Arabidopsis thaliana: one gene and its partners. The protein of the gene in region 1 interacts with the protein of each later gene in a pairwise test. Each region holds a gene or a part of one and is shown in the gene's direction. Other genes may lie near its edges.

Region 1 (4,621 bases):
AAATCTTTTAAAATCTCTTATAAATCTCTTAAAATACTTTTAAAATCTCTTGTAAATTTTTTAAAACCCTTTTAAAATCCCTTGTAAATATTTTAAAACCCTTTTAAAATCTCTTGAAAATATATTTTTTCCCAAAACAATTTTACAAGGATTTGCATAATCATTTTTTTGGCGGGATTTTTCTTTTTGGTGGGAAAAAAGTTTGCCAGAAAATTTTTTTGGCGAGAAAAATAAATTTTTGGTGCAAAAATTTGGTGGGAAAATTTCAGTTTCTAATTACATGTTCCTATTAGATGAGGATAATTTGGTCATTCTGTTCAAGGGAAATGGTATTTTTAAAAAAGGACAACATAAAAAGATATTGTTGCAAAAGGGTAGTAAAAAAAGAGTAGTTTTGCAAATCTCCCAAAATTCTGTAAGGGTTTAGGTTTAATATTATTTAATTATAATTATATTGCTTCCTTTTTTATAAGTTTAAATTTAATATTTGTTATTTTCGTTTTTTATTTTAAATTTTAAAATGGAAAGTAATTATTATTTTTAAAAATGTTAATTAATTAGATGTTAAATATGTTAATTATTGATGTGACAGCTTCCGATTAGTTGTTTTAAAAAATGTTAAATAATTAAATGCTAAATATGTTAATTATTGATGTGGCAGCTTTCGATTGGTCGTTCTAAATCCTATGTGGACGGCTTTAGAAGCAAATAGCCTCAACTTTTATATAGTATAGATTTTCAGTTTTTGGTGTTCAATTTTTCGATCACCGGTTTTGATGAGATTGAAAAACTCTGTGGGAATTTTTTATGGCCGGGCAACCCGAACACCACACGAGTTGTAAAAGTGCTTTCAAATTATTTTATTTATTTTATAAACATTTAAATCTTAAAAATAATATATGAGAATTAAAATTAATAAATAAAATTTTAACCATAAATTAAAAACGAAAGTAACAAAAAAAATTTAAAAAATGAAGTAATTTTTTTTTAAGATTGTAATATTTTTTTTAATAGGATGGTTTTTTATTCTTTACTTTTTTTCACCAGCGACCATTTTATTAAGTTAGGAGAACTAATCCGGAGTCGATGTACTTACATGAAAAAGAAAAAAAACTTCGTGTTCTTATATTTTTTGTTAGGCAATCAACACAGACATTGTTACAACAGAGAATAACTCTAATATAAAATAAAGACAAAAAATTTCAAAAGCTTTTTTAAAATATTGTAATTCTTCAAAAGCTTTTAAAATGTTGTAATTCTACAAAGCAGCTCAACTAAATAAAAGTTGCATTTTGCAGACATACGAAGTCGCTAATTTTTCACATATCGGAATTGGACCGAGAAGGTGGAAACTACGCGCCTCCATCGAGAGTGGTGTAAACCATAATCTATTACATAAAAAAAAAGATAACAAAAGAGACGTTAAAGCAATGTTTCTCTGTTACGCGCTGACGCATCTCTAACCTTTTTAGGTTCTGTACTATCTTTATCTTTTAGTCAAGTGTTAGAAAAGTATCTTAATCAGACGGTTAGGGTTCTTTATTATTACTAGCCGCAATTTTTTTATTGAAACAAATAAATAAAAAAATAACCCAAGAACAACAACAATCTGGTCTGCTGATGTATTAATTAAAGAAAAAAATAAAACAGAGCAAGAAACAAAAAAAAAAATGTAAAGAAAGAGAAAAAAAGCTTTCGTAGTGTCTATTGAAACCAGAGAAAAGCCAAAGGGGATGCAACCAACATCCGTCGGTAGTAGCGGCGGTGGTGACGACGGAGGAGGCAGAGGAGGAGGAGGAGGGCTAAGTAGAAGTGGACTATCTCGGATCCGTTCAGCTCCAGCGACTTGGCTTGAAGCTTTACTTGAGGAAGATGAAGAAGAGTCTTTGAAACCTAATCTTGGTCTCACCGATTTGCTTACCGGGAACTCGAACGATTTACCGACAAGTCGCGGCTCGTTCGAGTTCCCGATTCCTGTTGAGCAAGGGTTGTATCAACAAGGTGGGTTTCACCGACAGAATAGTACTCCGGCGGATTTTCTTAGTGGTTCTGATGGATTTATCCAAAGCTTTGGGATTCAGGCGAATTACGATTACTTATCGGGGAATATCGATGTTTCTCCGGGAAGTAAGCGGTCTAGAGAAATGGAAGCACTCTTCTCTTCTCCTGAGTTTACTTCTCAAATGGTAAACCAAAATTAGTTCTTAAATTAGGGTTTTCTTATACTTGCCAAAAATAGGATGAACTTAACTGACTTATTACTTGTTTTAGTTAATTTGCTGACCAAGTTCTCGAGATTGAAAAGACCAGTCTTGTCTTAAAATTGACAACTTGTGTTTTTCTGAACCAAACTAAGCAAGTTGCAGTTTCTATTTTAACTCAAAAAAAAAAAAATGGCAGTTTTTGTTGTTGGCTCTGTGGCTTTAATGTGTCAATGTGAACATTAAAGAATGCTCCTATGGGTAAAGTGTTTAGAAGACCATAAGTCCACATGATGATACATACTTCGGTGGTTAATGTGTACAAATGTATTGATTCTCCACACCTTTTGGTACATTGGTCTACTTAGTATTAAGTAACTACACTTGATCAAAATTTTGGGAACATATGTGTTACCTATGTGTTGATTAAGGTATTAGTGCTGATTTGCGCTTTTTGGAATTTTTTTCTGTAAGTAGAAAGGAGAGCAAAGCAGCGGTCAAGTTCCTACCGGAGTATCAAGCATGTCGGATATGAACATGGAGAACCTTATGGAGGACTCTGTTGCTTTTAGGGTTCGGGCTAAACGTGGTTGCGCAACTCATCCCCGCAGCATTGCCGAGAGGGTAAACAACATTCAATCTTTATTTTCAATGTTTTGGAAGTGTAGTGATCAAGGTTCTCTTAACTTTATACATTGAAGTTTAGTGATACAACTTATATCTTTACTTTCAATTTACGGATGTTTAATGATGCACTGTATGCTTCATTGAACAGAGGATTGTTCTGTTCTGGTCAGTGTATATTTATCTTTACCTTTCATTGTGTAGGTACGAAGGACGCGGATTAGTGATCGGATAAGGAAGCTACAAGAGCTTGTACCTAACATGGACAAGGTAATATAATTTTCAGCTTAGGTATAATCTGATGACCTCGGTTACACAATTATATTGACTAGAAATAGGTCAAAGATTATCTATGCTTAAATCAAGTGTAGAAGTTAGAGGTCAAATTAAATATGACTGTTAATGGTTGTGATGCAACTTCAGAGACACGGTTCTCAGCTCTGTAACTAAGTAATTCACAAACTGTGGAATGGATCTTGATATGGACTTGAATTGTTGTCACCTCGATCAAATAAGTATGAACTTGGTTTCCTCTCTATAGATTATGAACAAACTGAGGAAAACTTTTGGTTTTGGTATATATGGAGATTTGGAATCTAGGCTTTGAGTATATCGGTTAACTTTTTTGTCTTTGTTGCAGCAAACCAACACTGCAGACATGTTAGAAGAAGCAGTAGAATACGTGAAAGTTCTTCAAAGGCAGATCCAGGTAAATTATCTAAGTTAATATATATACACACAAAACCTTTTAGAGGAACCCAATAGATGAATTAAAAATGATTAGTCAACAGTATATAGTAAAAAGAGTTATGAGTTGGTTTATTTTGGTGTGGATAATATAGGAGTTAACAGAAGAACAGAAGAGGTGCACATGCATACCTAAGGAAGAACAATAAGGTTTGCTCCTGATTTGTTTTATATTTGCTTAACGGCAATGATCTGATCGAAAAATTCGAAAGATGATCTTAGCTTGAATTTAGATGGATGTCATGTTGAAAAGTATATTATTTGATAAATGGATGTAGGTGTAATATAAAATTTTTGTACAATAATGAAGAAAGTTAAAAAGAATTAATGAAAACATATATTCTTTATGATATTAGTGAAATGACTTTGATTTCATGTTGTTTGATTATAGTAAAGTATTTTCAAGATGTGTATTACAGTGTTTTTAAAACTCATTCATACAGTTACAGCTAACATACTAGATTACTAACCATCATGGAATAAGATTGCTTAGTGGTGCAACCAATCCGCAACGAGTTTGCAAACGAGGACAGAATTGCTCGATGTTTTGTCGAACCGGCAAGATAATCGGGTCTTTGTTTATTGCAGTGTAGATTAAATCTTATAGCGAAAAAGGGTTAATCATCTTACTAAATCCGCTGCAATCAGTTTCGAAATAAATCATTCCGCATACCGCGCTACCAAAAGTAGTGTAGTGTCAGGAGTTCTTAGTGTAAAGACATGAAATATATTTGAAATCCTTTCAAACCAATTAGATGAATCTGGTTGAAGCCATCAAATTAAAACCAAACTGGCTGCACATTTTTGTTTTGGTTTTCCATGAACCATCAACTTGAAAACAAAGAACAAGGGAGTTCAAAACATAGAAGGGATGATAAGCTCTGGAACGACTCCCATGCCTTCACCAATGTACTCTGCTACACCTAATCTTGGACTCGCATCCACGCTTTGAGTTCATCTCGCAATCACAAAATATTTTGTCAAGGATCTGGTTTCTACATATTTAGTATTGTTATCGTTCCTCGCTTTCGAGTTATACCAAGCTAACC
Region 2 (3,560 bases), on another chromosome or scaffold:
TAAATAGAAAGTTGAGTAGAATGTCATTATACAAAGGAACATCCCGTTACATCTGCCACTACTTGGTCCTAAACAGTAAACACACAAAAAAAAACAAGATTTTACCAAAACACATATCAATAACAACTTAAACTTAGTAGGATGGGAAAATTTTAGAGCTTACGAATCTAATAATGGTTTAGGGTGGACACGGTAGACCGTTTCAATCCCTCGAAGGTAGCGAACGGCAGCTTGAAAAGTAATGGGGTCAGTGTGAGAATTAGCATCCTTGGCCTCGAAGGTGATGTAGAAAATGAATCCGGCTCCATATTTCCGATTAGCCTTGACAGCTCTCACAAGTTCAAGATTTTCCAGCTTATCATCATTGTATTTCTGAAGAGCAATCTTGGATAATCTATGAACCAAATCTCCGTCGGTTTCGGGTTTATGAGCAACGTCACTATCCTCGAAGATAACAGGATAGCAAAACACAAGGCGTCTTTGTTTCGTGGTGTCAAAGTCGTAATACTACAGACAACAATCACATTCATGAGAGAAGCCGACATAATGCTTTTGAAATCACAGACAAAATCTCAATTCGAAAAAGTAAGAAGCGAAGGAGAGATTGGTGGATCATTACAACTACATACCCCGCTTCTTTGGTATTCTTCTTCGACCAATCGTTCATCTTCCGAATCGAAACTACACGTCGACTCGCTGTACGAAGACATCTCTTCGCAATCCTCCTCCTCCTCCTCCTCCAGCTTCTGACGCTTCAGATCAGGCTCCTCAGATTTCTTATCGACCACCACCTGCGGATCCATAACTATGGCAGATTAGATGAAACCCTAATTCTCTGTTTCTTCTATCATTCAAGATAAAAAAAAGGTCCCTCTTCTATTTATAGTGTGCACAACAAACAAAAAACAAAAAGAAAAAAAGTGACTAAGAAAATATCAAGCCTCCAAGAGAGAAAATTCGTGTAGAGACACTAAACTAGCTAGTAGATGATTATTGTAAAACCTTATCATCATTGTGGTTGTTAAAATTAATCTAGATCGGTTAAATTTGGTTAAAAAATACTCACTAGTTTTCAAAGTTAAAAATCCAAATCCGGAAAATTAAAAGTCAAATCAAATCATAACTATTCCTTCCTTTCGTATAATCAAGTAGACGAAATCTCATCAAAATTAAATTTCTGAAGTTTTAAATTAGGAATCTCAGATGTCTTATTTGCCCATCACGGAAGCAGATGTGTAACCCTAATTGGTCGTGATCGTGGTGATTGCAAAAGCCTAATTGTTGTACATCATTAAACGTACGTTTTGTATTCTTTCCATTTACTGTGTACCTTTTTCTGCTTCTCAAAACTTGCTAAATTTTTACATAGAGAAATATTTTTGTTAATTTTTCTTTTGTTTTTAGTTGACTTATTGGAAAACAAATAATAATGAAGAAATAAAAAAAATACTCAACCACATGAGATGAGAAACGTTTTGTTAATGAATGATAAAATTAGGGTAAACATAAAACCCTAATAAGTTACTTGATGATATTTTCCAGCGGCTCTCTCACGTATTTCCATTTTTTATCCAATCAGATATATCAAGTAATTAATGAACCGACGAAACATGGAAATTCTTTAATTTCAATACTTTCCATAATTTTCTCTCATAGCTAAATTATAGAAACTACAACAAATAGAAAATGGAAAATGATAACTTGATAAATACTCAAGCACCGCAAGAAACAACAAGATTAAGAAACACAATTTGCTCCCACGATTTGCTCTCTTTATATAGTTCTCTCTCTGTTCCTCATATTTCTTCATCGTTTTGTTTCGCTTCTCTTTCTCTGTCTCTCGTATCTTTCTACTACTCTGTTTCTTGAATTCTAATGAACAACATCGACGACGCAAAGACGGAGACTTCAGTGTCTTCAGGTTCAAGCGACTCTTTCTTGCCTCTCAAGAAACGCATGAGACTTGATGACGAACCAGAAAACGCCCTAGTGGTTTCGTCTTCACCAAAGACGGTTGTGGCTTCTGGCAATGTCAAGTACAAAGGAGTCGTTCAGCAACAGAACGGTCATTGGGGTGCCCAGATTTACGCAGACCACAAAAGGATTTGGCTTGGAACTTTCAAATCCGCTGATGAAGCCGCCACGGCTTACGATAGTGCATCTATCAAACTCCGAAGCTTTGACGCTAACTCGCACCGGAACTTCCCTTGGTCTACAATCACTCTCAACGAACCAGACTTTCAAAATTGCTACACAACAGAGACTGTGTTGAACATGATCAGAGACGGTTCGTACCAACACAAATTCAGAGATTTTCTCAGAATCAGATCTCAGATTGTTGCGAGTATCAACATCGGGGGACCAAAACAAGCCCGAGGAGAAGTGAATCAAGAATCAGACAAGTGTTTTTCTTGCACACAGCTTTTTCAGAAGGAATTGACACCGAGCGATGTAGGGAAACTAAATAGGCTTGTGATACCTAAAAAGTATGCAGTGAAGTATATGCCTTTCATAAGCGCTGATCAAAGCGAGAAAGAAGAGGGTGAAATAGTAGGATCTGTGGAAGATGTGGAGGTTGTGTTTTACGACAGAGCAATGAGACAATGGAAGTTTAGGTATTGTTACTGGAAAAGTAGCCAGAGCTTTGTCTTCACCAGAGGATGGAATAGTTTCGTGAAGGAGAAGAATCTCAAGGAGAAGGATGTTATTGCCTTCTACACTTGCGATGTCCCGAACAATGTGAAGACATTAGAAGGTCAAAGAAAGAACTTCTTGATGATCGATGTTCATTGCTTTTCAGACAACGGTTCCGTGGTAGCTGAGGAAGTAAGTATGACGGTTCATGACAGTTCAGTGCAAGTAAAGAAAACAGAAAACTTGGTTAGCTCCATGTTAGAAGATAAAGAAACCAAATCAGAGGAGAACAAAGGAGGGTTTATGCTGTTTGGTGTAAGGATCGAATGTCCTTAGGGAATTTTTCTTTAAAAGTTTCTTACTTCAACTAGAACTTGTTTTACTTGTACCTCATGAATTTTTATTAACAAAATTGTTTTACTTAACTAGAGATTGGTTTACTAAATGATTTTCTCAATGCTTCGTTACTGGTTTAGATTTCGATAACCATTATCAAAGTGAGCTACTCGCAATGCATAACCACCAAGATTGCTAGTTTACTCATGACAAGCTCAGAAGCTTTTGGCCTTATAAGAAGAAAGACTTAACCAAAAAATCTTATCAATAGTATTTGTTAACTGGTCAATTAGTTTTTATCAATTTCTCAAGAATAAAAGAGTAAAAAATGAAAAGAAAAAAAAAATGTCACAAATAAAACTTACTAAAGATTATTTATGAACTTAATAAATTTGAATAATTTTATAAAAATAAATGTAAAATCAACTGAAAATTTATTTTAGAGAAATTCTATTTAACAACATCCAACAAAAAGTAAAAAAGATTATAATATTTTTCTTTGTTCCAACGCAAAATTACATTTTTTTGTTTTTGAACATAATTACGATTTTTATTTAGTTCTTTTTTTTTGAATTCCAAAAATCAGATCT
Region 3 (4,530 bases), on another chromosome or scaffold:
TGCAATCGTAAATTGACAAAAGAATTAAAAAGCCAAAGATCACCTGCAGTTCAAATTCTTTATTATTTTCATTAACCACTCAATAAATTACGTGTTTTTAATTAATTTTACCTAGAAAAAAATATTGTTGACATTATTTGCCTCGACAAAGCTTCACCCAAAATCCAGTCCCTAGTACTTCACATGATAACACGATTTACTCGAGTCAAAATCCGACGTATAAGACTACAAATATAGACCATCAACCATTTGACTAAAGACACCTTTTCTTATATAGAAAATATAAAATTAAAATAAAGATATTAATATGCATATTTTTAACTACAACATCACATATATATTTAGAATATTGTTTTTGATTATATTTTACATTAAAAGAGTAGAATATTGAGGATACTAATTTGACATTCTTCACGGCATATAACATCTAGAAGTTGTAAGGCACATACATACATAGCTTAATTACAATGTGTATTATTATTTACCATGTTTAATTTCAGATTTGTATTTAAAAATTAATTTTTTTTTAATAATTACTTATCAACCTAATATCCTATATGTTTGGGCTGTAGTGAATTTGCAGCCCAATTTGGAGATTTTAAACCCTTAATTTATCTTACAAGACTAGACAACATTTCAACAATAACAACTAAGTTACCAGTTTTACAAGAAAAAGAGAGAGGTTATTTCCCTATAATTATGACTAAAAGAATGTAACTACACGTATAAGTTCCTTTTGTAACACATGTAAATGTAATATAGCAAATGTAAGGAGTACACCACGAATCAGGAAACTTTTGTTTGGCCATTTGTACCATATTACTTGCACATTTGTGGAAATGAGTGTGTGACTATATCTGCATGCGTAAATCAAACACATGTACCTTAAATGATGTAAAACAGTAGATCTATCAATTGTACACATATATATGGATACATCGATGGGTCATTATAGCTCTGAAGTTGATTAGTCGGGCCAAAAATACACCTGATCATCATGATATTCATATATGTATAGATATATAGAGCACATATCACGAAACTCATCTATGTACATATATTTATATGTTTGTGTGAAAAAATAATTCAAAAGATTTATTCATGCATGCAAGTGTCCATCAAAGTAGTACGAATGAATAATTATGAAGGGTTCTTTTGGCACTTTACTAAATGTAATAATGAAAAACAACATTGGTAAGTCAACTCGTGATGATACATTTTTGGTTAATAGAATTTCACAAAAATTGAGTTTTGTTTTTTTGTCACTTTATAATCAGACAGTTCCATATAGTTCACTGGTCCGTCCAATGCAATCTTCTCTTCCAACATGTTTTCTTCCTTTTATCCGTGTAATATCAACACCACTTGGGACTGTTTTTTTTTTCTTTTTCCTTTTTACTTTTGAAATTCATGATGAAAACTAACTAGCAAGTTGATGTGCATATGTATGAAAATACATTTGGACGAATGATCAAATCAAGAAACCTGCTGATAATTTTAGTTAATGACTTTTTTTTTTGTCAACTCATTACAAAGTTCTGGATTTTAAATATTTGCATTTCTCTTGATATTAATGATTCAATTTTGATTGTTTGGAGTTTGGACCATGCGTATGCTGACAACCAAGTTACTCTGGAATTACTCTGGATTTTGGTAGGGATATTCCAGACTAACCCCAAGTTATGAAATAAAAGACATTGAAATCCTCATAAAGAAGGGATAAATAAAGTTTATCTTTTGAACAGTTAATTTGTTTTAACGTAATTTTATCAAACGAAGCGCGAGCTAAAATAAAATGAATAATTGGAAATCTAATTTTTTCAAACACGAACAATAAATATGCATGCATGTCAATCATGTTGACTTCTCCATACCCATAGCTTTAGAGACAAAATGAAATAAATAATTGGTTCTCCAGATAATAATATATAATAATAATTGATAGGGTGTGTCCAAATCCAAGTCTCTTATTAAAAGGGCACATATTCAACTACTCCTCCATAAACACAAAAAGTCCATCCTAAAAAAAGCAAGTAAGAGATAACAATTTCTCTCTTTTTCTTTTCTCTTCTTCAAACTTCAATTCACTAACGAGAGAAATGGGAAGAGCTCCGTGTTGCGACAAGACAAAAGTGAAGCGAGGGCCTTGGTCGCCTGAAGAAGACTCTAAACTTAGAGATTACATTGAAAAGTATGGTAATGGTGGAAATTGGATCTCTTTCCCCCTCAAAGCCGGTAAGTTCATACACATGTTCTTAATCCTAGATAACCTTTTCGAGCTTCTAAGCCCAAATAAGAGCTTATGCCATTCTTTGTTGTGGTTTAAGGTTTGAGGAGATGTGGGAAGAGTTGTAGACTGAGGTGGCTAAACTATTTGAGACCAAACATAAAGCATGGTGACTTCTCTGAGGAAGAAGACAGGATCATTTTTAGTCTCTTCGCTGCCATAGGAAGCAGGTTCTCTAATTAATTCCTTTTGAAATCATCTTTAATCATATAAGATCCTTACAAAAAATGTAGAAATGAAATCATTTTTTCGCCCACTTGCCTGTGAAGGCCCTTTCATAGTTATCTGCTTAGATAGGTTTAAAGAAAATATTAATTCACACTCTCCTTCAATTAATCTTATAATAGTAACAAAATTTCTCCTAAATCTAATTTTGAATTTATGTGTTATTTTGAAGTAATGATCAAAATATTTCCAAACGTGCTTAATTTCTTCATAAATCTAGTCAAAATCACGAGCTACATTGATTCCATGATTTAGTCAAAACTACGAGCAACTTTAATTCATCAAGAGTGCTATACTTTTCTCCAATATTAGCTATTAATATACATCAATTGAAACTTGTAGGTGGTCAATAATAGCAGCTCATCTACCGGGACGAACAGACAACGACATAAAAAACTATTGGAACACAAAGCTAAGGAAGAAACTCTTGTCTTCTTCCTCTGATTCATCATCATCAGCCATGGCTTCTCCTTATCTAAACCCTATTTCTCAGGATGTGAAAAGACCAACCTCACCAACAACAATCCCATCTTCTTCTTACAATCCGTATGCTGAAAACCCTAATCAATACCCAACAAAATCCCTCATCTCCAGCATCAATGGCTTCGAAGCTGGTGACAAACAGATAATTTCCTATATTAACCCTAATTATCCTCAAGATCTCTATCTCTCGGACAGCAACAACAACACCTCGAACGCAAATGGTTTCTTGCTCAACCACAATATGTGTGATCAGTACAAGAACCACACCAGTTTTTCTTCAGACGTCAATGGGATAAGATCAGAGATTATGATGAAGCAAGAAGAGATAATGATGATGATGATGATAGACCACCACATTGACCAGAGGACAAAAGGGTACAATGGGGAATTCACACAAGGGTATTATAATTACTACAATGGGCATGGGGATTTGAAGCAAATGATTAGTGGAACAGGCACTAATTCTAACATAAACATGGGTGGTTCAGGTTCATCTTCTAGTTCGATAAGCAACCTAGCTGAGAACAAAAGCAGTGGTAGCCTCCTACTAGAATACAAATGCTTGCCCTATTTCTACTCCTAGTTCTTCTAGACTCTCTTGTCTTCTTATATAAATATATCTTGGACTGACTGTTAGTAATATCAAAGATTTGATGGGGTATGGGAGGAGAGAGAATGAGATAGAGAGCGACTATGATCAGTTTTATGGGATTTTGTATTTTTTTTTTGTTTATTTATCTCTCTTTATTGGATTTCTAGTTAAGAAGAGACAATGTTAATGGGACTATGGGAGATTTGATTTGATGAAACCCAAAAGGATGTAAGAGTAGATCTTCGTTTTGGTCGAGAAGAGTAGATCATTTCAGCTTTCAGATAAAACTAAGAACAAAGTATGTGATCTATACATACGAACGACTATACACACACACACGCCCACACACATATATAGCATTTTATTGTTTCTATAATTAGATGAGACTATTACCATTATATGTGTATGCTATATATAGCAAACAAAATCGTATATACACGCACTTTTTTAGTTAAAGATATATACGCACTTGCAAGACATATATATGTTTTATTGTTAACAACACATATGCTAAAGAACTAAACTTCCAAACTGAAATGTCCGATAGATAAATAATTTGTAGCGAATGATCTTACTATTTTATATATAATGTTTTAACATAAAACCTATGAAAGATATATTTTATTTAATCCTAATTGTATATTTAGAGTCAATATAGTTAAATTGTTGAAAGTAAACCTGGGCAAAAAAACCGAACCCAATATCCAAACTGATACTCGAACAAAAAAACCGGGTTGAGAAGATCTAGAGTTGAAAATTATTTTACTGAATAGAGTTTTAGTAAACATGTGGGTATCGGGCCAGTCCGTAAATTATCCATTACCCAAACATATAATTTTAATATACAAAATATTAATTATATTTAATTTTACTATAATCTAATATCTAAACTTATAATTATAAATCTAAATCTCTCAATTAATTTTAAACCTAAATACCCAAA

The links.
Region 2: the proteins of FBH2 (region 1) and AT1G50680 interact in a two-hybrid assay, tested with the Arabidopsis thaliana proteins (one large-scale study listed by BioGRID).
Region 3: the proteins of FBH2 (region 1) and MYB37 interact in a two-hybrid assay, tested with the Arabidopsis thaliana proteins (one large-scale study listed by BioGRID).

What each region holds. Positions count from the first base shown.
Region 1 is NC_003075.7:5,845,780-5,850,400, forward strand, and holds FBH2 (basic helix-loop-helix (bHLH) DNA-binding superfamily protein), read left to right. Parts: upstream 1-1,532; 5' UTR 1,533-1,733; coding exon 1,734-2,186; intron 2,187-2,678; coding exon 2,679-2,825; intron 2,826-3,029; coding exon 3,030-3,095; intron 3,096-3,465; coding exon 3,466-3,534; intron 3,535-3,667; coding exon 3,668-3,721; 3' UTR 3,722-3,984; downstream 3,985-4,621.
Region 2 is NC_003070.9:18,777,011-18,780,570, reverse strand, and holds AT1G50680 (AP2/B3 transcription factor family protein), read left to right. Parts: upstream 1-1,956; coding exon 1,957-2,970; downstream 2,971-3,560. Other genes in the region: AT1G50690 (Cystatin/monellin superfamily protein), read right to left, coding at 59-68, 164-507, 630-803.
Region 3 is NC_003076.8:7,694,135-7,698,664, forward strand, and holds MYB37 (myb domain protein 37), read left to right. Parts: upstream 1-2,000; 5' UTR 2,001-2,099; coding exon 2,100-2,235; intron 2,236-2,327; coding exon 2,328-2,457; intron 2,458-2,854; coding exon 2,855-3,578; 3' UTR 3,579-3,888; downstream 3,889-4,530. UniProt on the Arabidopsis thaliana protein: Transcription activator of genes involved in the regulation of meristematic competence, such as CUC2.